4 linked regions of the Notamacropus eugenii genome follow. The protein of the gene in region 1 interacts with the protein of each later gene in a pairwise test. Links are inferred from orthologs where the notes say so. Each region holds a gene or a part of one and is shown on either strand. Other genes may lie near its edges. The genes, in order: UBE2K, RNF125, SIAH1 and RNF111.

Region 1 (8,018 bases):
TGCTAAGCCCAGTAATAACTGGGGTGTATTCCCCAACTTCCTTACCCTGTACCCTATTCCTTGAAGAATGACTTCAGGCCTTCTCAGCCTGAGAAGAAAAAGAGGGAGAATATTTTTAGGTAATCTAATGGAGAAGCTGGACATTAAAGATGAGGAACTTAGTCATATGACTACTAAGTTGATATCATTATATATGGTGGGTAATGATTCACTAGTCCATTTTCCTTAATAAATAAAGCCTTCTTACTAAATGTTACAGCCCAGCTAAATCTGAAGCATGACGAGATAGGAAAATGATGAAGTAGAATGTCAAGAATACTGAACTACCTTTCAGGAGACTATGTTTTTAAGTCTTATTCCTGTGAGTTTGGGCAAGTTACTTCTCTACTTCTAAGTATTCTCATCTGGAAAATGAGGATAGGATATTTTTCATTTTAGTATGGACATATATATAAGCTAGAGAGTATTCACTGCAGGGTCTCTAGGTTAGGTCATCCCAGAATCAGTTGAAGGAACAAGGGATTTTTGTCTGGAAAAGAAAAGGCTTATTGGATAAGTGGTAGCTATCTTCAGGTGAAAGGAGGTGTCTACATGTGGGGTAAAAGATAGAGACTATTAAATCCAAAGGAAGTTCTTTCAGATCTAAATGAAGCATTCCACACTTAAGAAACAGTGTGAAGCTTGAATAAATCTCAACTGCATATGGAAAAGTCAATGAAATAATGAACTGATTCCTCCAAACTACATAAGACCCTAACAGGAATCTGGGAAATGTAATTGGCAGACCTCCATAAGTAGGGTGAATAAATGGATAAATTAATAAAGCATTTATTAAGTGCTTACTATGTGTGTAGCACTCGGCATATAAATAGAAAAGCTCTCAGAAAGCTCCATTCCAATAGGGGAGATAATACATATGGAAGGTTTCGGGTACAAGTCCCATGGAAAAGTCCTACGGTCTTTAGGGTACAATGGCAAAGCAGATGCTAGTGTCTCCTTTTTAATATCATTTCCACTGATAAATTCACCTATTCTTGATGTTGAACCATTTGGCAGTGTCAAGGACTTTTTTTCCCCCATCTTTAAAAGCTGCGGCTACAGCACCTACATAAGTAGTTGCCAGGATGTATCCCCAGAGGAATTGACTGTTAGGATGATGGCATTTGGATAACGCTGGAAGAGTTACTATTTCCCAGGCTCTTGGTCAGAGTCTTGGGCTTGTCTTTGTCAGGGATCTGACAAACTTGACTTGCCTAGCACAATTGTTCCCTATTTCTACTTTAGGATGCCTGGCTGCTTCAGTGAGTCTGGCTTGCCTGTCCTGTGTGTGGCAGCTGGTTGACAGTTGGTGGAGATAACTGGTTCCTTCTCCATAGGTGCTGCCCTCCTAGAGGATGACTGTGAGGCCTATGTTGCTGTGGAGATGTTGCCATTCCCAGGGCTCCTCATTCCATCTGAGAGATGCTGTTGGTGATGAGGAAAGATGGATCTCTTTTCCACTATGATCTATCCCCTCATGATAGCTATGGAGGTTGGGTGGTATGTAGGTCCAGTGGACCTGGGGTACACCATACACTAGAGTACATTGCTATTTGCTGGGTTCTTGGGTTCAGGATCCTGGGCTATCTCCACTAGGGTCTAAGGTTGCTTTGCTTAATCAAGTATACAAAAATGTTGAAAGTTACATTGGTAAATATTATTTTAAACTTTCCTAAAGCCAAATTAATAAATACAGTAAGAGGTTAATTTATTAGAATCCACATTATTATTAATGTCTAATATAAAAGAGTGAAAAATTTTATTATGAATTCCAAGCACTCTGAATTTGTTCAGAGACATCCCCATTTTCTACTATCTTGATAATGATGGCCATTATGGCTCTGCTGGGAGCCTGCACTTGCAAAGCTGGCCTTGTAACATTTCTGCTTCACTCTGCAAATCTTTTAAAAGTCACATTGGTCAGGTTTCTAATGCATTCTGAGTCTGGAATAATGCAGCATGCATCACAATCAATCCTCTGGTGCCCCACTGGCCTGGAGCTAAGTTTAGAAGTTTGACTGTCTGGAACTAAATGTAGCCTTCTCCTCCTGCAGCTGGAGCTTCCCATTCCAGCTGCCCAGGGAAACTAACAGTATGCTAAGGGTAGAGCTAACAGTATGCTAACAGTCAGTGCAGTGAAAGCAAAATTATTTTAGAGTTCAATGTTTTGAAGTAAAGAGATTTTTCAAAGAGAATCAAATGAGGGGGATGGAAGTAAAAGTAAAGAAAGAGAAAGAAGTCTAAAGAATCTGGCAAAATACCAGATGTCCTTTGTCAGGAAAAGAATGAAGATAAAAAAGAACTGTTTTGCAGGATGAATAAAAAACTTCAACCCAGAAAGGCAGTTAGAATGTGAAGTTCTTAAAGGTAGGGACTGTCTTTTGCCTTTTTGTATCCCCAACCCTTAGCACAGTGCCTGAATTGAGCAGTAAGATCAATGCAAGAGTGAAAAAAGAAATCTTGAATATTTATTTCTTCTTTGAAAGGAAAATCATGACTATTCTAGTATTCTAAAATAGTGGAGGCTACTTGTGCCGTTAGAGGGGAATCATACCTTATTACACTATGGTATTTAATTTGGCCTGAGTCAAAACTTTTAGTAGTCTACAAGGCAATTTTGTTTAACTATTTCCTTGAACTGTATTGGAGAAATAAGGGAGGGTTTGGAGGATGCTTTGTTAGGAATCTTCTGTCAAGTCTAAATAAAATGTATCGCAGAAAAAAACAAACAAACCAAACAGGCCTTTAAGTGGTAACAAAAGTTACCACAGTACTCCAAGCCATTAGAAAATCCATTTCTCAATCCAAACCCTTTCCCTCATCTGTAACAACACCAGCAGCACACAGGATGGGAAATCCTGTGAAATCTCAGCCCTTAAAATAAAAATTCAGTTCAATAAGTAGTTATTAAATACCTCTCTACTATAGAATGCTGCTGAGTCTGGCATCGGAGGATAGGAATTCAAGACCCAATAATTCTGCCACTTACTCCTGTTGTAACCTTGAATGAGTCTCCACCTCTGGGCCTGTTTCTTCATCTTCAAAATGAGGGGGTTGGACCGAACCTTCCCAGCTTTCAATCTGGGATCCCAACTTAAAGGCAACAGTCATTTATTTTCCTAGTAAAAGGGTACGTGGATATGTGAGGAATTCAGCATTAAGTTAGATGCCGGCCGGCCCTTGCCTTTGTGAAAGTTTAATAAGGGAGTTATATCACATCGACTACACAAGATAATTCACGCTACCTTACTAAGAGGTAAAAGAAAAATGTTACCTGAGGTGGCCGAGTAACTCGTAAACTGATCATCTTGGTGAACTACCGTATTTTCAGAAGGGTCTGTGTGGTGTTGGCGGATGGCTTTATAGAAAAACCTAAAATTCTGGTAAAGAACTATTGGTATTTTGTGAATTTCATTCATGTTGGGAATCTGGGGACTTGCATTGAAGACGTGTCTATGGGCTGAGACCTAATGCCCCTTTGATGGCGTGTAAACCCCAAAACCCTTGGATCAAAACCGGTCCAGGCGCAGACGCAGAGGTTTGCGTAACAAAGTAAAAAAAAAAACCCCAACCCCCAAACCCCGACTTCCGTGTAGTCGTCTGGCCGGGCTGTTCACGCACCGTGACCCACATAAGACACTTCGGCTCCCTTCTGGACCACGAGGGGGCTCTGCTGGGAGCCTCTGATGTCTGACGTTAGTCAGCTGGGAAATGGATATTTTTGGGGCGTTTCGTTCGTTTCCCTTTCTGCCGCCGCATTTTTTTGTAGCGGTTATGGATACATCTTGTCTTTATTAGGCACACTGTGTAAAACCACATCGGTAACATTGTATCTTTCCTCGCTCTTTGGAGATAAGCCTCCCACCCAAAGACAGGTCCCTGGAGGCGAGATAAGCTCGTGGCGGCCCGCCCCCCTCCCCCTCCCTGTCTAGTCCTTCTCCAGCCGGCTCCGTACCCGAAGGTCCCACTCCGGCCTCGAATCCTCCCTAGCTCTTGCCTTGGGGGCCGCAGCCCCCTCGGCAGGCCTTCGATGGCGAGCCCTTCCCGGGCCGGACGGGCGCCGGCCAGGGAAGCCGCCCGCCTCCACCCCCTTGGCCAAGCTGGCCCGGACTTCCAGGCCGCTCCGGGCTTTGCGTCGCGGCTTCTCGGCTGCTCTGCGGACGGGCTGGCCCGGGCCATGCGGGGGGGCTTTGCGGCAGTATCCCGCTAGCGCCTCGTCAGCACTCTTTTGTGATGGGTGGTGGGGGTGGCGGCAGAAAGGAGAACCTAATTCCCTGTTAGGGCTGTCCTGATTTTATCCTAAAATAAACCCAAAAAAAAGGCGGCGGCGATTTTGAGGAGGGCCCCCTGAAGGAAAGGTCGGAGTTCTGCGGTGCCTCTTTTCTCTCTTCTCCGGAAAGCCTCCTCTCCTCGCCCGGCTGGCTGCAGGGAGATGGACTGGGAAGCGTTTGGGGGGATGAGGGGGTCCTCATAGTGCGCTGATCCGCCTGCTGCCGCCAAGTCCCCGGGCAAGGTCCGGGAGGCGGCCAGGGCCTAGCAGCCGGCGGAAGGGTTTAAAGGAAAGGGGCGAAGCCTGAATAGGGGCCCCTCCGGGTAAGCCCCCATCCCCGAGTAGGGGGGGAGGGGGAAGGAGCAGTGTGCGCGCGCGCGTCACGGAAGCCCGGGACCACCCCACGCACGCTACGGCGCACGGGCTGAAGCTCGCGGCCGGCTGGCGGGCTCGCGGCTCAGAAGCTTCCTGGGGGCTTCCAACGAGAGCCGCTGCGCCGCCCGGCTGGGCGATCGCCATGCGCATGCGCGGCCCCAGCGCCATTTTGGTGGCCGGGCGCGGAGGTGAATCCACTGTGAGGAGAGAGCGGCGGCGGCGGCACGGCTCCCCTGCTCGGGTCTGAATCGCTGAGGGAGGAGGAGGCGGCGGAGGTGGCGGCGGCGGCGGCGGCGGTCGTGGCGGCGGCGGAGGCGGGGGGTGCGAAACGGCTGCGGGAGGAGACATGGCCAACATTGCGGTGCAGCGAATCAAGCGAGAGTTCAAGGAGGTGCTGAAGAGCGAGGAGGTCAGGAATGAACTCCCGGCCGTCCCCCCGCCTCCTCCCCTCCCAGGCACGACCTCCTCGACCCCCCCGGCCCCCCGCGGGCGGCCCCCCGCACGCCCGGCTCCCCTCCGCGCCGTGTCCGGGAGGCGGCCTCCCTCCTCCACCCCCCGCCCTGGGCCCCGGTTTGGCCGTGTCACCGGCGGGAGGGCGGCGGAAGGCGAGGCTGGGATTGGGGGGGACCGTGTTGGGGAAGGGGCCCGGCGGCCACGGCCGCCACGGCCGCCGCTGCAGGAAGTGTGGCTGCGGCGGCGCCGGGAAGGAGCAGGCCGAGGCCGAGAAACCCCGGGAAGTGGGTTGGGGGAAGGGGAAAGGTGGGAAGAGAACGGACGGAAAGCAGGTCTGCCCCAGGCCCTGCTGGGTGGGGGATCGGGGGCCCGGACCGGAGGGCTCCCCCATCTGTTCTTGGGGAAAGATCCCTGGGCACTGCTGAAAAAAGGGAGGACGATACTTGGGGGGATTTCTTCTTAGATGGGTTGGATGAAAGGTAGGCAGGAAAGGGACCAGGACAACATGGTGGCTCAGTGTCCTAGTGGAGGGAAGAGATTTTTTTCAGTTGAAATCAATGATTCATTCCAGGTGCCCCAGGAATGGGCCTCTGCATTGACCCTTCCAGGGTTTGTCTGAGGGCAGGCAGTTCTTCGGTGAATTTAATATTTTTAGCCAGTGACAGTGGTTGGTGAGAACAGATTACAGTACTGTGTTTTTATATAATCTCTAAAGGTTGGTAGACACCATCTCTTTAAGCCATTTGCCTCAGTGGCTTAAATTGTAGACTAAACTTAATTATGTCCCTTTTAGTTTACTTGTATAATATCTTTGAAAAAGAGCATTTGAAAATAGGAAGGTTCACCGACTATCTTCTGAACAAGAATGATGGGTGATTTAATTATCATTGACTGTTCAAAGAATGATTAAAAATTTCCAGCTGGCCAAAATTCTTCCTGTTCCTTCTAGACCGATGCATACTATTAGTGCTTCATGTATGTTACAGTCTGGTAATGTTCTTATGGTTTGTCATGCAACAATGCTGATCTCTCAAAACAGTTTTCCCCCACTTAAAACAGATATAGATGATGCATTACTTATTACCATATGATAATCAGAGTATGGAATTGTTTAATTGGAAATTTTTATGTATCTTCCCTAAAATAGAAGCAGAATATTTAGTATAATTACGTTCTGATCATGATCTCTTTTAAGTTTCTTATTATGATACTTTAGTAATAAGTAGTAGTGTTACTTTTGAAATTTAGTATTCTATTGAAATCATTACTAGGGTGACATCTGGCCTAAAAACTTACTGAGTCTGCAATGATCATATGAAAAAAATGCCACATCTTTGCAAGTAGACATAGTATCCTGTGATTTAAAAAAAATTACTTTGCTAGCTACTTTATACATTTGGGATGTTTGTATATTGTGTTAGTATTCCAGATGAGTCTTTTCCACAGAGCATGTGTGTGAACTTTGACCTGTATGTTTGTTCAAGTGCCAAAATGAATGGAAGAATGACTGTGTATTTTTGTGGTACAGTGCAGAAACCACTGCGCTCTTCAGAGTCCTAAGTGTCTGCACTGCTACAGACTATTGGGTGATTCTAACTAATGAAATGGAGGTGCTTCAGAGCATCCAATCTGAGTAACCGTAGTAAAAGGATAGGTTTTAAAAATAGTTGTACAAATCTTAATATGGATTTAATGCTTCCTTTTCTATTTCCTAGTTACAAAGTACACCTTACTACTTCTAATATTGGTTTCTTTGACTCGTTTTAATGGTGACTGATTTATTACCATGGTATTCTAAGGACTTGAATTCAGAGTTTCTAGAAATACTTGTTTATGCATAACTGAATGAATACAAGTATTCCTGTGTACTCCTTGTCCCCATGGGAGTTGTTTGGGAGTGGCAAAATTAGAATGAGAAAACTATCTTGGTGTGTCCAGAAGAAAAACCTTATATGCCAGGGTCCATCTTTTGGGAACTTAACTCTGTCCATATACATCTGAAAGCAAGCACTTCCTTCTTTGTCCTCCTTCCCCCAAGTCAGTAGAAAAGGACTTTTGCCCGGGAAGGGTCTCAGCCTTTTAATCTTGGATGAAAACAGGTTCCATCATTTATTTTTATTAGATCAAGCTCTATAAAAGGATTCTAACACCAATTATGCTCATTAGAAGAGAGGACTCCTAGCTTAATTCATGTATTTTGTTTCTAATGTTAACAATATTTTGAATGTCTGGTCGTATTCTTTCACTACTTTGGGTTTTTTTCTTTTCTGTCCAAAGTTTGCTTATATATTGAGTCTGTATTTATGGAGAATATCAGCTGATATCAAAGGCATTTTGCATTTCAGAAACCTTTGTAGTTGTAAAAGAACATTTTTATAGTAAGAATTCTTAACTTATTATCTTGTGAAAGGATTGTCCAGATTTTTTTCTTAGGTCTGAGTTTGGAAATCTAATTGACACATAGTCTTTTCAAAGTTTCCTATTAAGGTTTCATCTGAGTTTGATCTCTGGACCTATTCTTAATAAGTCACTTCAAAAATGTTTTTTAAAGAAATAGTAACTCAAAATTAATGGAATGGGTCATAAGGTAGGTCCGCTGTTTAGCCCCAAGTTATCCATCAGAATTTATTATTTAGTTTTACTTTTATTGTTGATAGCAAGGTAGTCTTAAAACCATGAATTTTTATTTTTTGCTTTTAACGTTTATTTTCAACGACATTGAAATGGAATTCATGGAACGATGAGGGGGAAAAAGGTGATCTTTTTAGTGAGATATTTTCATCCTGGAATCTAAGACTGTTTATAGTGAACAGGTTTTCTTCCAGTGTAGATTCATTTTAAAAAATTAAAGCTCTTGGAATATGAAAAGAGGTTGTGGTCT
Region 2 (7,302 bases), on another chromosome or scaffold:
TCTGACCAGCTTTCATTAACAAGTCAAAGAATGAGTTTCCTTAAGAGTCCGGATAATGTGGCTGATTTTTAGAATCATGCCAACCTTGGACAGCGCTTTAACAAACCTTGTTTTTATTTGACTGAAAGAAAGTTTGGGTCAAATTCATTTGGGCAGGACTTGAGTGTTGCTATTTCGGGGTCCCAGTCCCTTTAAACTTCAACAGGTAAGCTGATAAGGTTGGGAAAAAGAAAAACAAGAAAATTTGGCTTGGGGATATGCTGTAAAAGTTTTTCATGGCCTTACAAGGACTTATTTTATTTTATTTTTAGAGGCTAATCCATTTCCAAGTAAAAAATACGGTTTGACCTCAGGAGGAATAGGGAGAGTAGATGGTTTGGGAACTTTGGGACAATGAATCTCCCCTATAAAGTTCCACTGGTGAAATTCATCCATCAGAAAAATGCATGAGCAGAAAAAGAAAAGCAGACAAAAAACATTTTAGTCACTTGGCAAGAACAAGGGATGACTAGATTCAATGACATTCACAACATGGATAGATAAAGATGGATTGCCTTTTAGGCAGATGGATGAGAATACAGATCTATTGGAGTATTTGAGAGATTTAACAGTTTGTATCTTCACTGCTTTTGGTCAGAATTCTTTATTAAAAGACAAACCCTGTCAAGTTGGGGTAACATCTTAAACTAGCATTCTACTACCTACTGCGCTGACAGTTTGCCCTTTAGTAAGCAATGCCTCTTAGACATGGGATAGAGACACAAATCAATCTGAAATCAAGAGCCCAGAGGCAGAAAAGAAAGGTGGGAAGGAAAACTTGTATGAATGATGCAAAAAAGACTTCACTTGGAAGCATAACCAGGAGAACAATGTATATCATAACAATACTGTAAAGATAATCAGCTTTGAAAGACTTAGGAACTTTGATCAACACAATGAGCAACCTCAACTCTAAAGGATGAAGAAACAAGTTCTCCATGACCACACGCACGCAAGCACGCACGCACGCATGCATACACACACTGACTTTGTTCTTCTTGCCTTGTCAATGGGTGGGAGAGGGAGAAGGGAGGGGAGAATTCAGATCTTCTCTCCCAAAGATGGAAGCCAGAAGTCTTCACCAACTCTACCCCTCAGATGGGCATGAAGCATTGAGTATTCAGTCTCCACAGATGAACCCCATATAAATGGGCTTTGAGATTTGTGTTACATACATAAATAAGTATAATGCAAAATAATTTTGAAAGGGAATTGGGAAACTCAGAGAAAACTTCACAGAAGAGAAAGCACCAGAGGTACACCCTAAAGAAATACAAGGATTCTAAGAGGTAGAGGTAACAATGGTATGTGGTCCAGGTATGGTGGGAGGCAGGGCTGGATAGAGGAAGAAATGCTGGAGATGAAAGGAAAAAACAGTCCAGTTTGGCTGGGACAGAATTTGTGAAGGGGAATCATATGAAATAAGGCAGAAAAGACAGGTTTGATACAGACTGTGGAGAACCTAAAATGCCAGACCAGGAAATTGTATTTTGTCCTATAGGTGATGGAAAGCCATTGAACATATTTGGCCAGAAGTGACATCTTCAGATCTATGCTTTAGGAACATTATTTTGACAATTGTGTGGAAGATAGATTGGAGAGAGGAGAGGCTAAAAGCAGGGAGATCAATTAGGAGGCCATCATAATAGTACAAACAAAACACAATGAAGTCTTGAACTAGAGTAGTGGTCTTGTAGTTAAAGAGAAGGGGAGAGATGCAAAATATGTATCATCTGGGGGGTTTGATTAACTACAAACTCAATATACTTCAACAGTGTGATGTGGCAATCAAAAAGTCCATATGCTCTTTTTTTTTTAACTAGGTCTGTGATTTCCTCCATATGGGGAATTCCTGGCGGCCTCCACCAGTGCAGGCCTCCACCTACCCTACAACTCATTGTTTGGAGAGTTGTTGGTACACTGAGAAGTTAAAGTGACTTGAGGAAGATCATATATCTAGTGTGCATTAAGTATCATAGGAAGGACTTTAACCTGTTTTCCCAACTGACTCTGAAGCTACCTCTATCTACTACCCCAGGTGTGTGCTGGAACAGGCTCTTGAGAGTTGGAGGTTAAATTTTCAGGATGGGTTAGTTCATACTCAAATAGGAAATGGGCAAATGCTACAAATCAAAGCTAGATTTATTACTGTATTGATAGACTAGACTTAAGAAAACGAAGGAGAAAGTTATAACCATAGAGATTACACTTCAAAGTGTGCCTTTCATATTTTTCCCCCCAGAGTCAGCTGTTTAACATTGGTGAGTGCACCCCTGACTATACCACACTACCTTCCAGGGTCAGAACCTTTTTGAGAGATACTTCTTATAAAGCAAATGCCTTCAAGCAGGTTTATAATTTAAACTATTAATTAACTAATTGTAATGAGATATCTGGCTGCTTTAAAAGATACATGTTCCAGCATGTGGGATGTGGTATTATACTGTACTCTGCACTGATCACACATCATCAGGATTGTGTTCAGTTGGTTCTTGGAGACACATTTTAGGAAGGGCAGTGAAAACTGGAGATCAATCCAGAGGAGGATGGCTAGGATCAAGCAAGCAAACAAGACTCTATGAAGGAAGAAAACAAGCCTTACTCTCAAGGAGTCTACATTCTAGGGAAGTGTTAGTGGGGAGGGAACAGAAAAGAAAGTAGATCTCTAAGCTCATGGATCAAGGGAGCTCTAGGTAAGAAACTGGTGACTTTGCACAGCCCTCCCTCACTTAAATCCAATTCATTTGCATGTCCTGGCATCATCTCCCTGATGTTATGGTCCTCATGGAGAAACAGCAACAGAAGCAGCAGAGCACTGAGAAGTTGTGATTTGTTAGGGTCATTGAGACAATATGTGTCAGAAGGACTCCAAAGCCTTAGCCCATACGGACCACTGCGGCCACGTTTTTACCAATGTAGTCAAGTAATATTGAATAATATTGATGATGAAAAGGAGGAGGAAAGAGAGGAGGAGAAAAATCACTCATAAAATGGTATCTATGTGTAAGGCACTGTGCTAAGTGCTTTACAAATATGCTATTTTGATCCTCACAGCAACCTTGGGAGGTAGGTACTATCATTAAACCTACTTCACAGTTAAAGAAATTGAGGCACAGAGGTTAAATAACTTTCCAGCCTCACAGCTAGTATCTGGGACTGAGTTTGAATTCAGAACTTCCTGACTCCAGGCTTAGAGTCCTATTCCACTGTGACACTTAGCAGCCTCATGTATGTATGTGTGTGTTCTCTGGAGAAGAGAATCAGTCAATAGGTAGCTAGCTTTTATTTAATACCTATTATGTGCCAGACACTGTGCTAAATATACATATTATTTCATTTTAATTAGGCCCGATATAGGGGGAAATATCCTAACAGTTGGATTCAAAAGTAAAACAGAATGCCCTGGGAGGGGTAGATTCCCCCTTATTTGGAGGTTTCCAAATATATAGTTGTCCGTTTGATGGCTGTTTTATAGACGGGGTTCTTGTTTAGACAGACTAGGATCAATATGATTGTCCTCTTTAAATTTATCCATTACTCCTGCAGATCTGATTCAAGAAAATTTACAGAACATACAAGGGAAGGTGCTAAGTGCTGAAAATACAGCCCCTCTTCACCCCCTTCACATCAGTCCCTGCCCTCAAGTAAGGAGCACTTTACTGTGCAGTTAATGTCGTTATTAAGAACTGTATTATATATGGTTCTTATATTTTAGGCCTTATAATAAATATCTCAGTTAGTTGCAGTCTACCCTGATAGATCCCATCTAGACTCTAAATTACTAATACCTGTCATGGTTTTGAACTCCAGTTTCAGGAGTATTAGAACAATTAACTGCTAAAAATTGTTTGCCTCAACCCCCCACAGTGGTTAAGGACTGTATGCAAACACCCTGAACTTTGCTTGAATAGGGTTCCTGATGTATTGAACAGAGTAATGGCAAGTAGAAACCCGAAGGTTAAAAAAAGCTTCACATCCCTCCTTCCTCTTGGTTTGGGAGAGGAAGACCTAACAGTGGGCAGCTGCTATTCCTCTGTGCGGTTCGGGTTTCAGGTTTCAAGCCTCCTGGGAGCGGACGACACTGCAGTGCTCGCGGCTGCGGCCGCCGTCTCCTCCCCATGGTTGGGGGTAGCTGGAGGAAGAGGATAACTTCTGACTGGCGGAGTTACTGGCGAAAGTCTCGGCTTGGAAGGTTAGAAGGGGCGGGGGTTGGCTCCGGAGAGCAGGACTGTGGGGGCAGGGAGGCGGCGATCCCAGCTGGGCTGGGACTTCCTTCCTTAACCGCAGGACAACAAAACAATTGAAGCGAAGGCACCCAGCTTAGCAGCAGCTGTCCGGGCTGGAGAGGAGGCAGGCGATGGGTTCCGCGCTGAGCAGTGACAGCGGCCGAGCAGCCCCGGCTGCCAGGGCCACCCCGTCCGCCCTGCCCGGGAGGGGCGAAGTGGAGCTGCCGGTCACCTCCTTTGATTGTTCGGTCTGCCTCGAAGTGCTGCATCAGCCCGTACGGACCCGCTGCGGCCACGTGTAAGTGAGGGGGAGCGGCCCGGGGTGCGAGATCGCTGTGGCCGGTGCCCGCCGGGCCAGAAAGAAGCCAGGTGGAAGAAAGAAGGGGTCTGTCCTAGGTCAGTGGAGAGCATTAAGAGCTGTAACTTAGTAAAGCCGCGTTCTGCGATGGGGAGCTTCTGCTGGAGGTGTGGTATTGTAAAACCGGGACCCGGCGGGCCTCGGCTGCGGGAAAGTGCCTTGTCTGAAGGTGGCACAAAGATTGGGAGAAAGAGGGCGAGCCAGATCGACTACTTGCTGCGTCTCAGTCAAATCTGAGCGCTCTGAGGACGTTAGCGGGTCGGTGACCAGTCCGGTCCCGCTAGACGGTGCTCCGGGGCTAGCCAGGATGCTCGCGGTAGCTACTCAGCCCAGCCCCGGGTGCGCGCTCGGTTCTGGGTCCGCATGGAGTTGCCGGTGTCTTCTGGACCCCCCAGGGCAACCGTCTATCTAGGGCCAAGCCTAACTAGACCTTGCAAGTAGGAAGTGGCTGGCTGAGGCCAAGCGCAGTTCTCCAAGTAAACAGAGCCGGGCTGGCGCTGTGCCTCCCTGGGCCCCCGACACCCAGACGGGTCGCGTTTTGTTGGGGCTGCGCACGTGTCCTGAAACGCCCCCAGCGCTTCCTCCTGTGGCGAAAACCACTGACGGAGCAGACCCCAGCCCCCGCCGCTGTCCCCCCCTCCCTCCTGCCGAAGGTGAAGTTACCGGAGTTGTAGCGCCCGGGTGTCTCGCTTTGCTACTTTGTTAAAGTTAGGCTGCGGTTAGTTTCGAGTTTGGGAGCTGGCGTAAACAAAAGACCTCCTGCTGGGGATGAGTCTTTTTAAAGGAAACTACCAAGAGCCTGAAAGGTCAAGGTCTTCTAGCAGTAAAGAGAAAAAATATGATTAATGGGAAGTAGGGGTTAAATGGTGGGTTTTTTCAAACCACTTACTCCGACTGAGCTTTATATAAGTCAGTTGTTCTACATGATTTCTAATTCCTTAATGGGTAATCTAAATAAGTGTATATATGCATATGTAAGCATATGTGTGTATATCTATATCTATGTGTCTTATATCTTGCTTCAGTCGTTACAAAAAGCTTTACAGATATCCCCCTCTATCTTCGGTACAACCCAGGAACGGAGATGCTGTTATTATCCCCCTTTTACAGATGAGGAAGCTGAGACGAGAGGGATGGAGGTTTAGTGATTTGCCGAGGGTCACACAGTCGGTAAGCCAGCGTCACGTTTGAAGTCGGGTCGTCCTGACTCTAGGCACTGCGCCACCTAGCCGCCCAGATCGGAAATGCAGGTTAGAAGTTCTTGGCCTTTAGTAGGCTGTTTAGCGGAAAGTAGGTGGCATAGTGGATAGAGCACCCGGCGTAGAGTTCAGATTTGACTTCAAACATTTCCTAGTAGCCCTGGACAAATAACTTAATCCTGTTTCTCCTTCAGTTTCCTCATCTGCAAAATGAGCTGGAGAAGGAAATGGCGAATCACTCAAATATCTTTGCTTAAAAGAAACTTCCAAATGGGGTAATGAGTCAGACACCACCGAACAACAGGAATTAGTGGCCAGCTCACTTGGTTTGGAGCCAGAGAGTGTGACTTCAAATCCTGGCTCTATGCAACCTTGGGCAAATCACTGCATCTCAAATTCTTCATCTGTATGGTGAGGGGACCTTCTAAGGTCAATCTCTTCCAGCTCTAAACTTATGATCCCTACTGGTGCTTAGATGCACACAGCTCAGCAGTTGTGCCAAGTATATTATTTGATTCTACCATCCAAACTCCACTATCACATTCAATCAGAGAGCATTAATTTTAAGGGCCGTGCCCTGGGAACACAAAGAAGGATGAAAACATACTCTGGCCGTTTGTTTTAGCTAGAGGGGTATATGCAACCAACTGATCTTGCCACATAAAGGTCTCCAGATTGGATAGGAACTGTGGGGTGGGAGTGGGAGTGGGCTGTATTCTAGTCCAGCCCATTCCTCACAAGAATCCTCTCTTCAACTAGATGTAGCCTTTCCTTGAAAATCTAGTGAGGAAAAACCCCAATCCATTTTGGGATATCTTAACTTAGCTCAAGTCACTGTGGGTTTCTTTGCCACACCCACCCATTGCTTCAGTTATGATGGTATGAGATGTTTTTGTTTTTAATGAATCTAATCTTTTTTTAAAATAATTTACTTTTTTAGCACAAGCAATGGGTGGAGAAGAGGGGGAGAAGTGCTTACTAATTACCTAAAGATCAAGGAAGTTTTCATGGAGTAGCTGGCATTTAAATTGGGCTTAAGACTATGGATAGCAGTTTACCTTGGGAAGAGGCAAGGGGGAAAGCATTCTAACTTCAGGAAACACAGCCTGAAAAATAGATGCGAAAATGGAAAATTGGAGAAGAGTGTAGAAGAAGACAGACTGATTTAATTTGGCCTATTATTGAACTGATAATTTCTAAGCAAAGTTATGATATGATGTAGATAGAGATATGTAGAATTAAATTACTTTTTAAAGGGCATGTTCCATAGAGTATTTGATTTGTAAACACAGAAGTATTTGAAATCTCTGCTCCCTCCTCCCTCCTCCAACTTATAAAAACAGGCTGAAGAGATTCCCAGGGTTTGGCCTGTAGATATAGTAAGAATCTTTTTCACCTTTGTATATGGTGTCATGGGCATGTATTCCTGAAATACTAGAAATATTATGCTTTCAGCTTGGGGGGAGTAGGGGTGGTAGTA
Region 3 (6,902 bases), on another chromosome or scaffold:
TAGCTTTGAGGTTTGCAAAGTATTTTTATACACATTGCCTTGTTTTAACCTCACAATAATTCTTGAAGTATGTGGGTCTTACAGGTATTTATCTTCAGTAAAGACAATACAAATGAGAGAAGATATGTGTTTGTAATTGAATGTTCTCTAACCTGACTAACTTAATCAGGCAGTTGACACAAATAAGAAATAGATAAAACAGACATCAACACAGAATTTGAACGTTGCATGAGGAAGTTGTTGCAACCTAATTAATATAAGAAATCCCAGAGTCTAGAAATCACTTGACCCAGCAGACATCTTTGTTTTCTTGCTATTATAGACTGCCATGACTCTTTGCATGGCCACACCTGTTTAAAATAAAATTTTTTTGGTTAAACCTTGCCAGAGAATCATGGTAGAAGATGAAGGGTGTTTAAGGATGAAGGTGTAAGAACAGATGAAAAACTAACAAGAATGATAAAAAAGATTTTAAAATAAAAAATTATTGTAGATAAATTTTTTTTGTTTTTAAATCACTTATATTTCTGAAAATTTTTCTTCTGCTACCCTACAAAGCCATTCCTTGTTACAGAATAAAGAAGTGGTGAAGGAAAGTCATTCAGAAAACCCAACACATAAGTCGTATTTGATGCTATGTGTATTTTTTTCCATTCATACCAATTCCCTTCTCTTTCTTTCCCTTCTACCCATCCTCCCCTCCCCCAAGAAGGGAGGGAAGTACATTTCCTTAACTCTTCTCTTGGGCCAAGCTGGATCATTATAATTACATTGCTCTCAGTACCATTTTTTTTTTTTTTTGTTTGCTGCCGTTTAAGTTTACATTGTTGTCATTTTGTACATTTTCTTTCTGCTCCAGCTTACTTGGGCATCTTTTCCTGTGTGTCTTTCCCGTCTTGACTGTAAAGATTTTTATGAACTTTTTCATCATCAGTGAGTGCCTTCGGCCACAACATTGCCACGTTTGTACTCTTAATAGCACTGTCCTTGCTAAAAAAAAAAAAAGAAAAATCATTACATAAAAGAAATATGAAAGGAAAAACTCGACTTTTATTACCCCCCAAAATGGCAGAATGTTAGCTACTGACCTAGGTCCCTGTTTTCCTATTCAAATTTTTTATGAGCTGAATCCATACACACATTAAGGACATCATTGATGAAAGTTTGAACAGTTAGGCACTCCTAAAGGATATTCTGTACCAGATACATTCTTAAGAACACACAGTTGACTGAAAGGTTAAGACAAATATAAGATCTTACAGTCCTCTTCAGGTACTTTTGTTTGCAGATTATTTTGTTCTGGTTTCATCAAATCTCAGATCGTTGTAGAACCTCCTAAATGAGGTCCCTAATGGTCCAAGAGAATTTGCCTCTACACTGGGTGAAGAAATCCTGGATAGTAAGACATGAACTGAGTCTGACATGCAGTTGAATGGACAGCCCATAAGTCCTCCATCAGTACATAAATACTGAGCAGACATTGTGAATGGACAGTGCACTGATCTGAGAACTGAATTGGAGGAGGAGAACCAGTCAGATTGCCTTTGGGAAATTTCATAATGCTTCTAATGACCAAGCTGGGAAGTTAGAATCCTTAATGTAAAAGGTGGGACTTGAACTGAGCATTGAAGGAAAGTAAGAATTTTGAGAGACAGAGGTCATTAGGAGGTACATTACAGGCATATAGGTTATGGGGAACAATTAGAAAGCCTCCTTGCTGTGTGGACCTTAGTGTTGATTAAATAGATTAATATGCAGTACAGCTGGAAAATAGGTTAGGGTTATATTGTGAAGGACTTTAAGTAACAAACTGAGGTGTTTATATTTGTGCCTGGAATAAATAGGGTAGCGACTGGAGCTGACTGAGTAGGGAAATGACAAGACAGATTTGTGCTTTAGGAAAATCACTTTGGCAGCTCTGTCACAAGGGTGGATTGGAGGTGGAGGCAGGGGTGGGGATGGAGATACTTAAGTATTTTGTTTTTATTATGTCATCTTAATCTCCCAGTATATCCTTCCAGCATTTACCATACCCAAAGAGCCATCCTCTCTAACAAAGAATAACTTTGAGAAGGAACAAAAAAGACTTAGGGAGTTCAACTAAACTAATCCACGTGAACTGAGTCTGACAATATATGCAGTGTTCCATAAGTTCCCCATCTCTGAAAAGGAGGAAAAGTGTAGTTTTTAACTTTCTCTTTAGCACTTGATTTCTATTTTTGTTGCTCTTTCAATTTACATTGTTGTAGTTGTTTTGTGTATTATTTTCCTTATTCTGCATCAATTCATATGTCTTCCCATCCATATTTGAATTTTTTACATTTCTTATGTACAGTAATACACAATCATCTGGCTGGGTGAGAAACAGCAACAATTGATAATCACTCCAAAGCTAGGAGGGTCAAAAGGAGCCTTTAGGCAGGGTCCCATTGGCTTCCCAGTTTCAGACTGCAGGAGGTTTAAGGTTTGGGAAGAGGAAAGAACAGGACAGAACAGGAGAAGGGGAAGGGAAGGAAAGGAGCCAGTAAAACGGGGCATCTTTTGGCCATCCATATTTACAGTCCTTTGGAGAGGAGAAGAAAGGGGAGGGGGAAGCAGACAGGAGAGGAGGAGTTAGAATTACCCAGCTCCCTGTGTTCTTCCCCCACCCCCCCATTCAGCCCCTGCATCTACTCACAGGATTGTGTTTTGTCCTTCATTGCCAAAGAAGACCATGTCATCAGAGAAATGATGACATGAGTTGCACTTGACTTTGTTTTGAGTGAGGGAGGGTGTGCAGGTCACCAGCCTCACAGGGGCCATGCCCTGGCTACTTCTTAAAGAGTCCTATTCAATGAATGCTCTTCTTTGCTCCTGTTCTGTTCTGTCCTGTCCTGTCCTCTCCCCAAACCATAAACCTACTTCACTCTGAAACAGGGATGCCATTGGGCCCCTACCTAAGGGTTTCTCTCGACCCTCCTAACTTTGCAGTGGTTATCAACAGTAACTGTTGTTGTTTCCCACCCAGCCTGATGTCTTTTCTTTTTCTTGGCCTCCTTAAAGGGGCCATGTCCTGGCTACTTCTTAAACAGGCCTTTTCAATGAATGGGCATTGCCTCACCCTAAGGGAGTACCTGCAAAGACTGCTCAAGGTCTCCCATTGCATCCTGGGTCATCTCCAGTCATCCTGATGAATGTCTGGTCACTGGATTCAGATTTTTCTGGAGGAGAAGTGAGGCTGGTGACCTGCACAGCCCTCCCTCACTCAAAACAAAATCATGTCATAATTTCTCTGATGGCATGGTCTTCCTTGGCAAGGAAAGACGACCACAAACTGCACAGTAATAGTACATTAGCTTCGTGTAGCCTCATTGGTTTAACCATTCCTACTTTTTCTGCTACCGTAAAATATCATTGATTATTTTGGTTCATATGGAACCTTCCTAGAAAGGAATGCCTTTTGACTTTTTTTGAGACTCATTTTTTTTATACTTGTATCTTTACAGTTATGATTATTGGTTGTGAGTCATGAAATACAGTAGTTTCAGAAGAATTAAAGTTGAGGGTCATCCAACAGGCAATGAAGAAGCGTGGACATGAGTAGGTGTTCAATTATTTCTCTTGTGCAAATTCTGATTTGTAAAGATGTAAGAAATACATGATCAAAAAAAGAAGGTGGGGTCTGTCATTGTCAGATTGTAGGATGGACAGCTCAAATGCTCTTTTCTTATCCATACAGCATGAAGAGAAGCTAAGGAGGTGCATAGCAAGTTGGGTGGAACCTTTCCTCCCTAAATTATGATGAGACCTGGATAAATGACTTTAAAAAGATGAGAAATCATGTGTGGATCGCAGCTGGTGGTATCTGAGGGAGAACCCATGTGGATAAAATTACACCTCCATCAAAGTAAGGGTCCAGGATAAAAATTTTAACAGAAATTAGCAACAGATAAATCTTATTAAACTCCCATTAGTATGTGATTGGTTTCAGTGACTATTATTATTTTTTCCTTGTTGGGGAGGGGGAATGTAATTTTTGATACATTTTAGTTAATTTGACTTGCTTAGTAGACCAGGATTCTGGATCTAGAATGCTGTGTAATAGAATCTTACACTGAATGAGCATGTTTATTACCTTTTTTAGTAGATACGGGAAAAGGTTGGCAAATTGGCTATTTAAATGGATATATATGTACATGTACCTTTAAAAAAATGAGATCCTGTGCCTGAGCCTTTGTATCAGCCTCCCCTATGCCTTCTTAGGGGCTCCTCACCTCTTCAGTGGAAGTATCAGAGAGTCTTAACAATTAAAAAAAACAAGACATTTTTTTCCCATCATTCAGCATTTATTTTCTTTCCTTCACACTTCCCTATCCCCCCCCCCCAAAGAAAAAGAAAAAGAAAATTCTTTAACAAATATGTACAGTAAAGAAAAATAAATTTCTGTGCTATGTTAAAAATGTGTATGTATCACTCTGCATCTTGAGTGCATTCTCAGATGACTATCATTTTTCATCACTGGTGCTCTGGGAATCATGGATGATCATTGCATTTATCATAATTCTTAAGTCTTTAAGTAGTTCTTAAAATGTTATTGTATAAATTGTTTTCTGTTGTCCTCGCTTTACCCTGCATCATACAAGTCTTAACAGATTTCTCTGAAACTCTCTCTTTTTAAATTTCTTATGGAATAATAGTATTCCATTACATTTGTATACTATTATTTGTTCAGGTATTCCCTCTAAGGGTACTCCCTTAGTTTCCAATTCTTTGCCGTTATAAAAAACTACCATAATTTTACTTAGGGAGGGGGTGCATAGGGTCCTTTCCCTCTTTGATTTCTTTGGAGTATAGGCCTAGTAGGACAGAAAGTTACATGGTACTGAGAATGGAAGTTGCCTTTCCTTTTACATTAATGCAACTCCTCTGTCCTCTTCTCAGCAATTACTGGGTTCCATTTGGCACATTTGCCCTTATCCCCAATTCTAGAAAGGGTCCTGGGCTTCCATGCACCAGCAGAAATCTTCATTATAAGCCCATGTTCAATAATTCCCAGATGCCTTAAAAAAATGGCTCATATTTCTTGATTCAGCACATTTCTTAGTTTCAAAATCCCAGTTTTTACAGAGGGCTTAGAACTACTAATAGATGTTAGGCATAGAGATCAGTATCACCCCCCCCCTCCCCAAATTATACGAATAAAACAAGCATCAGTTTACAGCATTTATCTTAAGTACACCATTTTTTCTTCTCTTTTTAAAAATTCTGAACTTAAAACACCAAAAGTATCTTTACACAGCAGAATACAAAAAAACCCCTCCCTTTGAAATTGTGAATTTCCATTTTATACTACTTGCTTTTGTGGAGAAAAAATGTAGTTCTGTATGTTACTTTCAATACAGTGTTGTCTGTGCTTCCTTCTGTGCATTAAAAAAGGTCCATTTCAAAAAAGTGTTTCATTGACTTCAGTGGCTTGGGAGGGAGGCATCCATTTTATTGGAATAGGTTTAGGATCTGACATTTAATCTCCATACCTCCACTTTATAGCTGCATCTCTGCCAGTTTTTATCAAGTTGGTTCTTTTCCTAGTGTCTCAAATTATTCTAGTAAGTAAGGCATCTCCTGATTGGTTTGCTTGATCCCAGTTATGATAGCTTTGTAATAGTGTTTACTTTGCATATATAATATGTATAGACCTGGTTTTACTAAAAAAAATGAAATAACTATTTAAAGAAAAACAAAGTTGAAATGAGGTATAAAATAGACATTTGTTTTAAGGAAAAAAGCAGTTTTCAAATGTGATGTCACTTGAACAGCTAGTCAAAGACCTTTTTGGGGAGGCGCTGTGGTAGAGTGAAAGAGCCCTGCCTAAGAGTCAGAGGACCTGAGTTCAAAAACCATCTTTGACAGGTACTTGTGTGACTTTAGACAAGTTACAAGTCTCTGGATTGCAATTTCCTGATTTGGAAAGTGAAGACAGATTGAACTAATGGCCTCTGAGGTAATTTGTAATCCTTTGTTTATGATTTGTTTTACTTTTGCTTCTGAAATTTGTTTTAAATTGACTTTAGCTTGAATTACATACTGTCATAGGTTGAGAGGTTAAAAAAAAGAAAACTTTTGACTGTGACGTGGCATTGGAAAATGAAGCTAACAAAATAATTTGATAAAATTTTTTCATCTTTCAATTGTAATGGAACAATGAAATTGAACAAATGTAAGTTAAGTTAGAAAAAACTAGATGAATGACTTGGCATTAGTTTAGGCATAATTTATGTTAATTTACTTTTTTGTTTGCCATTAAATTATTGAAAATGAATCTTTAAGAACTGCCATGATATCTGGTTTTTGCTGATTCTTTTGGTGTACCACCCTGGTAATTTGTTTAAATAACATTATTGGTAAAGTTATGTTCAACTTTGAGTAAAAGTAGTTCTGTTGTGTTCTGGTTAGTGAGAAACTACTTTAATAAAGTCACCATTTTAACTGTCTTCTACTGGAAAATGTTTTTTTGTGGAGGCAATTTATTCCGTTTGGAGCTAAAATTGAACTCAGGTCCTGCTAACTCCAGTGCCAGCCTCTCTCTATCCACTGTGCCACCTAAACTGCCCCAAGTTTTTTAAAGTGTGTTTGAACATTTCAGTTTAATTGATAGCCATTTTTGATTACTTTACAAGCCATTCTAATTTTATAATTAATTTCTTGAAAGGTGAATATTTTGGTATTTTTCTTTTTTGTGACACTAAGCTAATCAAGTTTTGAATTTTCAGGCATTCTGGGAATCTAGTCTTGACTCTGCCTTTGAACAAATTGCTTTTATCTGGGCCTCAGATTTCTTATCCATAAAATGAGAGCTGACTTGTTGCACTAGGTAACACCCAAGATACTTCTGTTTGAAAGGTCTGCTAGTTAGAAATAATCAG
Region 4 (7,168 bases), on another chromosome or scaffold:
AAATACAATATGATAATGTTAATTCTTGGTTTTCAAAGTCAGTGTGTGGGCCAGAGGGATCTTTTTCAAGTTTCACACACCAATGGTGTAGTGAACTGAGCAGGGGAACCAGAATTCGAATCCTATTTCAGACATTTACTGACTCTAGGACTCAAGTCAAGTCACTTTTTTAATCCTCCTGCATCTGTTTTTTCATTTATTAAATAGGGATAAGTAATCAAACCTATCTCGCAGGATTTTACTTATCAAATGAGATAATGTAAAGCACTCAGGTAAATAAAAATTCTAATTATTACTGCAGATTCAGATTTTTTGTGTTTTCTTATCCATATTCCAAAGTTAAAGTCATCAAATAAGTGATCTATGGGTAAGTGAAATGCTTTTGTGTAACATGCTCAAGGATATATACTAAAAAAATTGACAGTAACACAAGGATTCTTAATCTTTTTTGTTATGGATCCCTTCTTAGAATGTTTTAAAATGCATTAAAAAAATACATATGATCACAATGAAAATCAATTATACTGAAATAATGTTAGCAGAGTATTTTTTTTCAAGTTCATGGACCCAGGCTAAGAATCTTTAGGCAAGTCAAAGTGGCACATAACTGTACTGAGGCTGAAGCCACTGGAAGGCTTGAGCTTAGTTCTTAGATGTATTAATGCTGAAGCCGATTTTGGGGGTCCACTCCAAGTTCAGCACCAGTATGGTAAACTCCCAATAGCACAGGGCCACTAAGCTGCCTAAGGACAGTAGAAGTAGCCCAAGTCAGAAAACCTAAGTCAGAGCTTCCAAGGTGAGCAATAGCAGGATCAGGTCTATGAATGGTAGCTACTTTCAGTCATGGAGAAACAGAGAGACCTAGTGCTAAGAGATGGGAGAGAGAGAGGGAATGAAAGGAGGAAAATGGAGGGAGATGAGGACAGAAAGGGAAAGATAAAAAAAAAAACCCAAACCCATCAACTATCAGGTAACTTGAGATGTGACAAGAAGTACTTTACATGGGAATGAATTAAAGGCCCCAAAACTGAAATTATATTCAAGGAATTCTTAATTTCCATGTCCTTAATTTAGGCGCTGATTTTTGCCCAATTTCTTCCTTCTTATGAGAATTCCAAAAACCAAACTAAAAAATTAGAATGTTTTACTTAACACAAAAACAGTATCTGAACTATATGACATCCCAATATTCCTAGTTATCAATTATCATTTTACTATATATGTTTCTTTGCAATATACAGGATTTTCAAAACAGCACTGGAAGGAATTACTCAGGGTTAAAAGAATTTGCCATAAGTTCTGGAGGAAACCTTACTAAGCACTCACTGAAACACAGTCAAGCAATAAATTTTAGGAACTTAGGCTAAAAGAATTCTATAGACATCCAGAAGAGTAAAGTTAAATGAGATGGTTAAAGTCTTACATTACTGAAATATATTTTGATAAAATTACAAAAAAATCAAGTTCTGATTATAAATGAGAAAAAGAAAAAAATGGAGGGAAGAACCTCAAACAGTTCCAAATTTTTAATTACAGTGAATATACACTAATTTGAATTCTATTCATATGGATTATAACTAAATTGGTACCAGCTTATCTACTGAAAATGAATTTGCCAAGAAAAAAATTAATTTTCAAAAACACAAATCAGTTAATTTCCTGTCCTCCCCTCTTTTTCTCCTCCTACCCATTTTCTTATATTAGGGAGGCACAGATATCAAGAATCATGATTAGTAACATGATAATAAAGTTCAGGTTTTAGTCAAGGTTGAGTCAAAACAATCTTATATACAAAATTAAAGTCACCTCCATTCTGGCAATCATTACTATGAAGTCTTCCATGATCTAAGAAGGCAGAATGCCAATGGCAAATTGCAAAGCATAGCACTATATAAACAGGGCAAATAACACACAAGCGTAGAGGAGTTATATAACATACATATTTTTAAAGCTTTTAACAACCTTTGCTTTTAGCTGCTGCTTTCTTGTTGGAAGTATCACCCGAAGAAGACAGATCAATGTTATCAGGATCACCTCCTTCCTCTTCAATTGCCTATGTTAGAAAGGTAGATTAATATACAAATTCTGTTTAAATTCATGTTTTAATAATAAAATTTAATTTCAAATTTTACCTAAATTGACATTTAAGTGATGAAATAAAAGATGAACAAATCTCAAGTCTTCTGAAAATGCAAGATATTAAAATAAGCAGCCCTGTCATAAAACCTACTTCAAGAAATTAAGCTACTTAAGAGTGAATAAAGCATGCTTGTGAAAAAAACTCCACCGCATGATTAGTAAAATCAAATTGCAACACAATGATGTTAAAGAATCACAATAAAGGGGAGCCATAAAAACTGGACCCACGGCGGCGAGTGGAATATTAACTGGACTTCGGTATTGTATATCATGAGCCATTTAAATTTAATAACAAGTGTTCCCTTTATTCTTCTGATGAAATTTTTTTCCCTCCCCCACAATCCCGACATACCCAGAAATAAACCAAGAGGTTCAACCGTTGAAAGACCAACCGTTACTATGGAATGTGAGAATTAAAAGTATAGTCACCTGTATATACATAGATTTACGTAGCTCACTCTACAAAAATAAGTCTATGTATACAGATTTTCTACATACATTTATGTAGCTCTCTACCTATACAAGTCTGTGTAGATCTCTATATATTAAGTTTATGTATCTAGATCTCTCTACATACACACATTTACGTAGACCTCTCCAGAAATAAGTCTATGTGTCTAGATCTCTCCATACGTGAATTTATGTACATAGATCTCTAAATACAAAGATATCCATACGTAATATAAAACGTATTGTTATCTATATTCAGCATACACATAGACGACCTACGCTAAACATTAAAATATGTGTATCTATACCTTTACGCGTGTATTTAAAAATAACGTATGTTTCAGAATATGTACCTATATAATAAGTCTATATTATGCAAAAAATGTAGATCTCTACAGGCTTAGATTATCTGTATTCCACGGATACAGATCGAGAGTTTAAACAACCAACTTCGTTAAGCTAAAGCGAGAGACGTTACAGCCCAACACGGTTCCCTTTCAGACCCGGACAAGGCCACGCGCTCGCCCCTGCTCCCCGAAGAGCCCGGCCGGCCGCCGCGCGCCCGGAGAGCGGAGCCCGGAGAGCGGAGCCCGGAACCCGCCCGCCAGCATCAGGGCCCGGCCCGCGGAGCCCAGGCAGCATGGGGGAGGGGTGTGGGCAGCCCGCCGCCCCAGCCGGGGGGTGGGCGCGGGGATGGGGCTGGGGCTGGGTGGAGAAGCGCAGCAATGCCCACCGCAGCCCCCTGCCCACAACCAGATCCCCGCGGGCTCGGGGCGCTCCGGGCCGGCCCAGCGGTAGCATCCTAAGAGAAAGGCGAGGAGGGCGGGCGGCGCGGCCTAGGACCGCGCAGGACACCGCCCCCTCTCCTCGGCGTCCCCAGCCGGGCCTCACCTGCTTGAGCCGGGAAACGAGCACGTTTTTCACCCCGTTAATGTCCAGGTTCCGCCGCTTCAACTCCGATTTGAGATCGATCACCCGCAGGTCGCTGATCTTCTTACTCTCCGACTGCCCCGAGGCTGCAGAGGTGGCAGAGGAGGAACCAGAGGCGGTGGCGGCCATTTTAGAGAAGGAGCACGCAGCGGAGGCAGCTCCGGAGCTGCTGGCTGAGGGCGGCGGCGGCGGCGGCGGCTTCCCCAACTTCGAGCCGGGCCCGAGATCCCAGCCAGTCTCTCACTGCTGCGCACAATGAACACTGGCCCCGCCCCTCGTCCCACCCCGCCGCAACCAGTCGCTGCCAGCACCCGGATGGAAGGGGACGCCTGCGCACTGGCGACCAGTTCTCGCTGCCCGAGGAGGAACCTGCGCACTGAGGCCTCTGGCGTTGGGAGCCCAACCCCCACCTGCCCGGCTACCTGAAGAGTGCTGCCCTCTTACGCCCTTACGCGAGGTGTGAGGTCAGACAAGTTGTAACTGCAATAACGTTTACTGAGCCACCGTTCCATGGGGTTATATGGTTTCTTTTCCTTTTCCTTTTTTTTAAGCATGAAAGGCATTGAGTGCCAACAAAATGCTAAACACCATAAAACATAAGTGAATACTTGGCACTTAATAAATGCTTGTTGAATGACTGAGTTGGCTCTGACCTGGTTCCTCACCCTTAAACACGACGCTTTAGTGGCCTTTTCTGGGTCTCCCCCTCCTTACTTCTGGAAAGGATTGAGATTTTAGTAAGGAGTCACTGATTTCTTTACCAGCGTATCTGACTGTATGTATGTGATGGCCCAACCCCGAAAGGTTGCTCTGCAGAGTCAAGAAATAGGCTTCCTAAAAATCAAACACGAAGATCTCTTGCCACCTCAGAGGCAAGAATCATTACTTTTACAGCAAGAAAATTAAGTCTCCACGAACAGTGATAATCTCTTCCTTGAAGAATCACCTTAACAGGTAAGTATCCTTGGATTATTCCTATTAATCATAATTACCATGCATATGGAATTAAAACTGTATCACATTTCTTTTTTAAAAATAATATTAATTTCCCCCAGTTACATGTAAAAACAACTTTTAGCATTCGTTGGATTTTTTTTTAAGTTTTGAGTTCCAAATTCTCTCCCTCCCTTGCTCCCTGCCGTCTTCCCCTTCACTGAAATGTGCATGAGCAGTCACATAAATCATTTCTATATTAGTCATGTGTGCAAGAAAACTCAAACAGGAATCAAGGAAGGAGGAAGGGAGGAAGGGAAAAATAGTATGCTTTGGAGTGTCTTCCGTTCTTTTCTCTGGAGGTGGATAGCATTTTTCATCGAGTCCTTTGGAATTGTCTTTGGATCATTGTATTGCTGAGAAGAGCTAAATCATTCAAAATTCTTCATCATAAATATTGCCGTTACTGTGTACAACTTTCTCCTGGTTCTGCTCACTTCACTTTGCATCAGTTCATGTAAGTTTTTCCAACCTTCTTGTCGTTTGGTATAGCAAAATAATATCCTATTACAATCATATACCACAGCTTGGTTGGCCATTCTCCAATTGATGAGAATCCCAATTCTTTGCTGACAGAAAAGAGCTGCTATAAAATATTTTTGTGCAAATAGGCTCCCTCTTGCCCCTTTTATTAACTCTCTTTGGTATACAGACCTAGCTGTCTTACTACTGGATCAAAGGGTATGAGCAGTTTTATAGCACTTTGGGCAGTTACAAATTGTTCTTCAGAATGGTTGAATCAGCTCACAACTCCACCAACAATGCATTCGTCTTCCAGTTTTCCCACATCTCCTCCAACATTTATCTTTTCCTGTTTTGTCATATTAGCCAATCTGATAGGTGTTATGTAGTACCTCAGAGTTGTTTTAATTTGCATTTCTCTAATCACTTGTGATTTAGACCTTTTTTTCATATGGTGTCACATCTCTAAAACACAGATCTACTCCCTGAATTTTAAGCTTAAACATTTGAATTCTTGTAGCAAGGGATTTTTTGTTTATTTGTTTCTGTTTTTTGCAGTGCAGGTGGGTCAATTCTCTCTAATGAATCCTCCTTTGTAGGGAGGAACATAAAACTATCAGATTTAGTTCAGCTATAGAGGTCGGTTGTTAGAAGGATTGTCAAAGAGAATACACATGCCACCAATTAGCTTACCCACTCAAGTTCTCAGTTTCTGTTAGTTGCACAACTATCTTCCCAAGTGGTCAGGCTTAAAACCTTGGGGTCATTTTTGACTCCTCTCTCATGAGTAAATCACTAAGTCTTGTGATTCCTGCTTTTGAAAATTTTCTTATTCATTTCTTCTTTTCCATTCTGATCACCTCCATAATCTAAATTCCTTTTAAAAACTTCATGTACAGGTCACTGTAATAACAACTTAATTGTTCTCCCTCTCTTCAGTTTCTCTTCCCTTGAGGCTATGTTATTCACTGCCACCAAATATGTTGCCTAGAAAGGCTATTGGATTTGGAGTCAGAGGAACTGTGTTCAGATCCCAACTCTGCCACCTATATGTCCTTGCCAAGTAATAGCTTCTCTGGGCCTTCATTTCCTCACCTATAAATCTTTTAAGGTCACTTGTAGCTCTAAATCTACAATCTGAAATAATCTGTTTCCACAAATTTAAATGAGAAGATTGGATTAGGTGATTTTAGGAGATCCCTTGATCCATGTGATAAACCTTCACATTTCAAACAAATGTGTCAAAACTTTGCCCTTGAATGACTCATGAAACATGCTGAATGAAGTTCTGAAGCCAATTAAATGTTGACTTGATATCACTAAAGAAACGATTAGAAATCCATCACAAAGGACATGAGAAGAGGGCAGAACATAAGTTGTAAAGAGGAGAAGAAGACATAGAGCTCTCAAGGCTTGGACTCAGGAACCAGAGGGAAAGTCAAAGATTAGAGAAAAGCCCGTAAGAGGAAGCTAGCAGTGGAGGGCCAGTGGTTGGTAAACAGGACCTGGCTTGAAAACAAATGGTGGGAGAAGCATTAGTGAGCATTTTGCGCTCCGAGGAGCTCATCCTAAAAGAGGGTATTTAAACAGACCCCAGCATCAAGGTTATAAGTCCTTGTTTAAATCAGTTAAGAATTGCACAGACTGGAGGGTGGAAAAGGAAATACAGTAAGCTATATGTGGGTTTTGCCTCTGTATGTTTGTAGCAGTAAAGCTGCTTTTGATACGTTGTGGCTCTTCACCAATAACATTCATGGTAATAGCTTGTAAATAGCACTGTACAGTTTACAGTGTGCTTTTCTTGAAACAAACCTGTGAGATATAGCATGCATCCCTGTTTTGCAGGCTTTAACTGACTTCACATCGAATTACAAGCCCAATACTATTCCATAACCCTCTCACAAAATGCAGTTAAACTATCCTTCAAAGTGGGGTAGGTGGGAGAAAGAAGTTAAGGGGAGAGTAGCCTGCCCCCAATCAGTCAGTCAACATTTATTAAGTGTTTTCTATGTGCTAGGCACTGAGATAAGTGGTGGAGATACAAAGGCAATAATATAGTCCCTCCCTTTGAGGAGCTTATACTTTAATGGCAGAGACAGTAGGTAAGCAAATATATACAAAGCAAGGATCATACAGTATAAATAGGAAATAACTGAGGGAAGACACTGGACTTAACAGGGGTTGGGGAAGGTTT

Evidence for each region.
Region 2: the proteins of UBE2K (region 1) and RNF125 interact in a two-hybrid assay, tested with the Homo sapiens proteins (2 studies listed by BioGRID and IntAct). The link is inferred for Notamacropus eugenii from reciprocal best matches to the Homo sapiens genes UBE2K and RNF125.
Region 3: the proteins of UBE2K (region 1) and SIAH1 interact in binary tests that used the Homo sapiens proteins (3 or more experiments, as listed by UniProt). The link is inferred for Notamacropus eugenii from reciprocal best matches to the Homo sapiens genes UBE2K and SIAH1.
Region 4: the proteins of UBE2K (region 1) and RNF111 interact in binary tests that used the Homo sapiens proteins (3 or more experiments, as listed by UniProt). The link is inferred for Notamacropus eugenii from reciprocal best matches to the Homo sapiens genes UBE2K and RNF111.

What each region holds. Positions count from the first base shown.
Region 1 is NC_092877.1:93,756,830-93,764,847, forward strand, and holds the start of UBE2K (ubiquitin-conjugating enzyme E2 K), read left to right. Parts: upstream 1-5,007; 5' UTR 5,008-5,030; coding exon 5,031-5,093; intron 5,094-8,018. UniProt on the Homo sapiens protein: Accepts ubiquitin from the E1 complex and catalyzes its covalent attachment to other proteins. In vitro, in the presence or in the absence of BRCA1-BARD1 E3 ubiquitin-protein ligase complex, catalyzes the synthesis of 'Lys-48'-linked polyubiquitin chains.
Region 2 is NC_092875.1:258,756,132-258,763,433, forward strand, and holds the start of RNF125 (E3 ubiquitin-protein ligase RNF125), read left to right. Parts: upstream 1-4,292; 5' UTR 4,293-4,396; coding exon 4,397-4,563; intron 4,564-7,302. UniProt on the Homo sapiens protein: E3 ubiquitin-protein ligase that mediates ubiquitination and subsequent proteasomal degradation of target proteins, such as RIGI, MAVS/IPS1, IFIH1/MDA5, JAK1 and p53/TP53.
Region 3 is NC_092872.1:463,105,699-463,112,600, reverse strand, and holds the start of SIAH1 (E3 ubiquitin-protein ligase SIAH1), read left to right. Parts: upstream 1-3,900; 5' UTR 3,901-6,902. UniProt on the Homo sapiens protein: E3 ubiquitin-protein ligase that mediates ubiquitination and subsequent proteasomal degradation of target proteins.
Region 4 is NC_092872.1:137,330,459-137,337,626, reverse strand, and holds the start of RNF111 (E3 ubiquitin-protein ligase Arkadia), read left to right. Parts: upstream 1-4,150; 5' UTR 4,151-4,473; intron 4,474-7,168. Other genes in the region: SLTM (SAFB-like transcription modulator), read right to left, coding at 1,963-2,053, 3,481-3,648. UniProt on the Homo sapiens protein: E3 ubiquitin-protein ligase. Required for mesoderm patterning during embryonic development. Acts as an enhancer of the transcriptional responses of the SMAD2/SMAD3 effectors, which are activated downstream of BMP.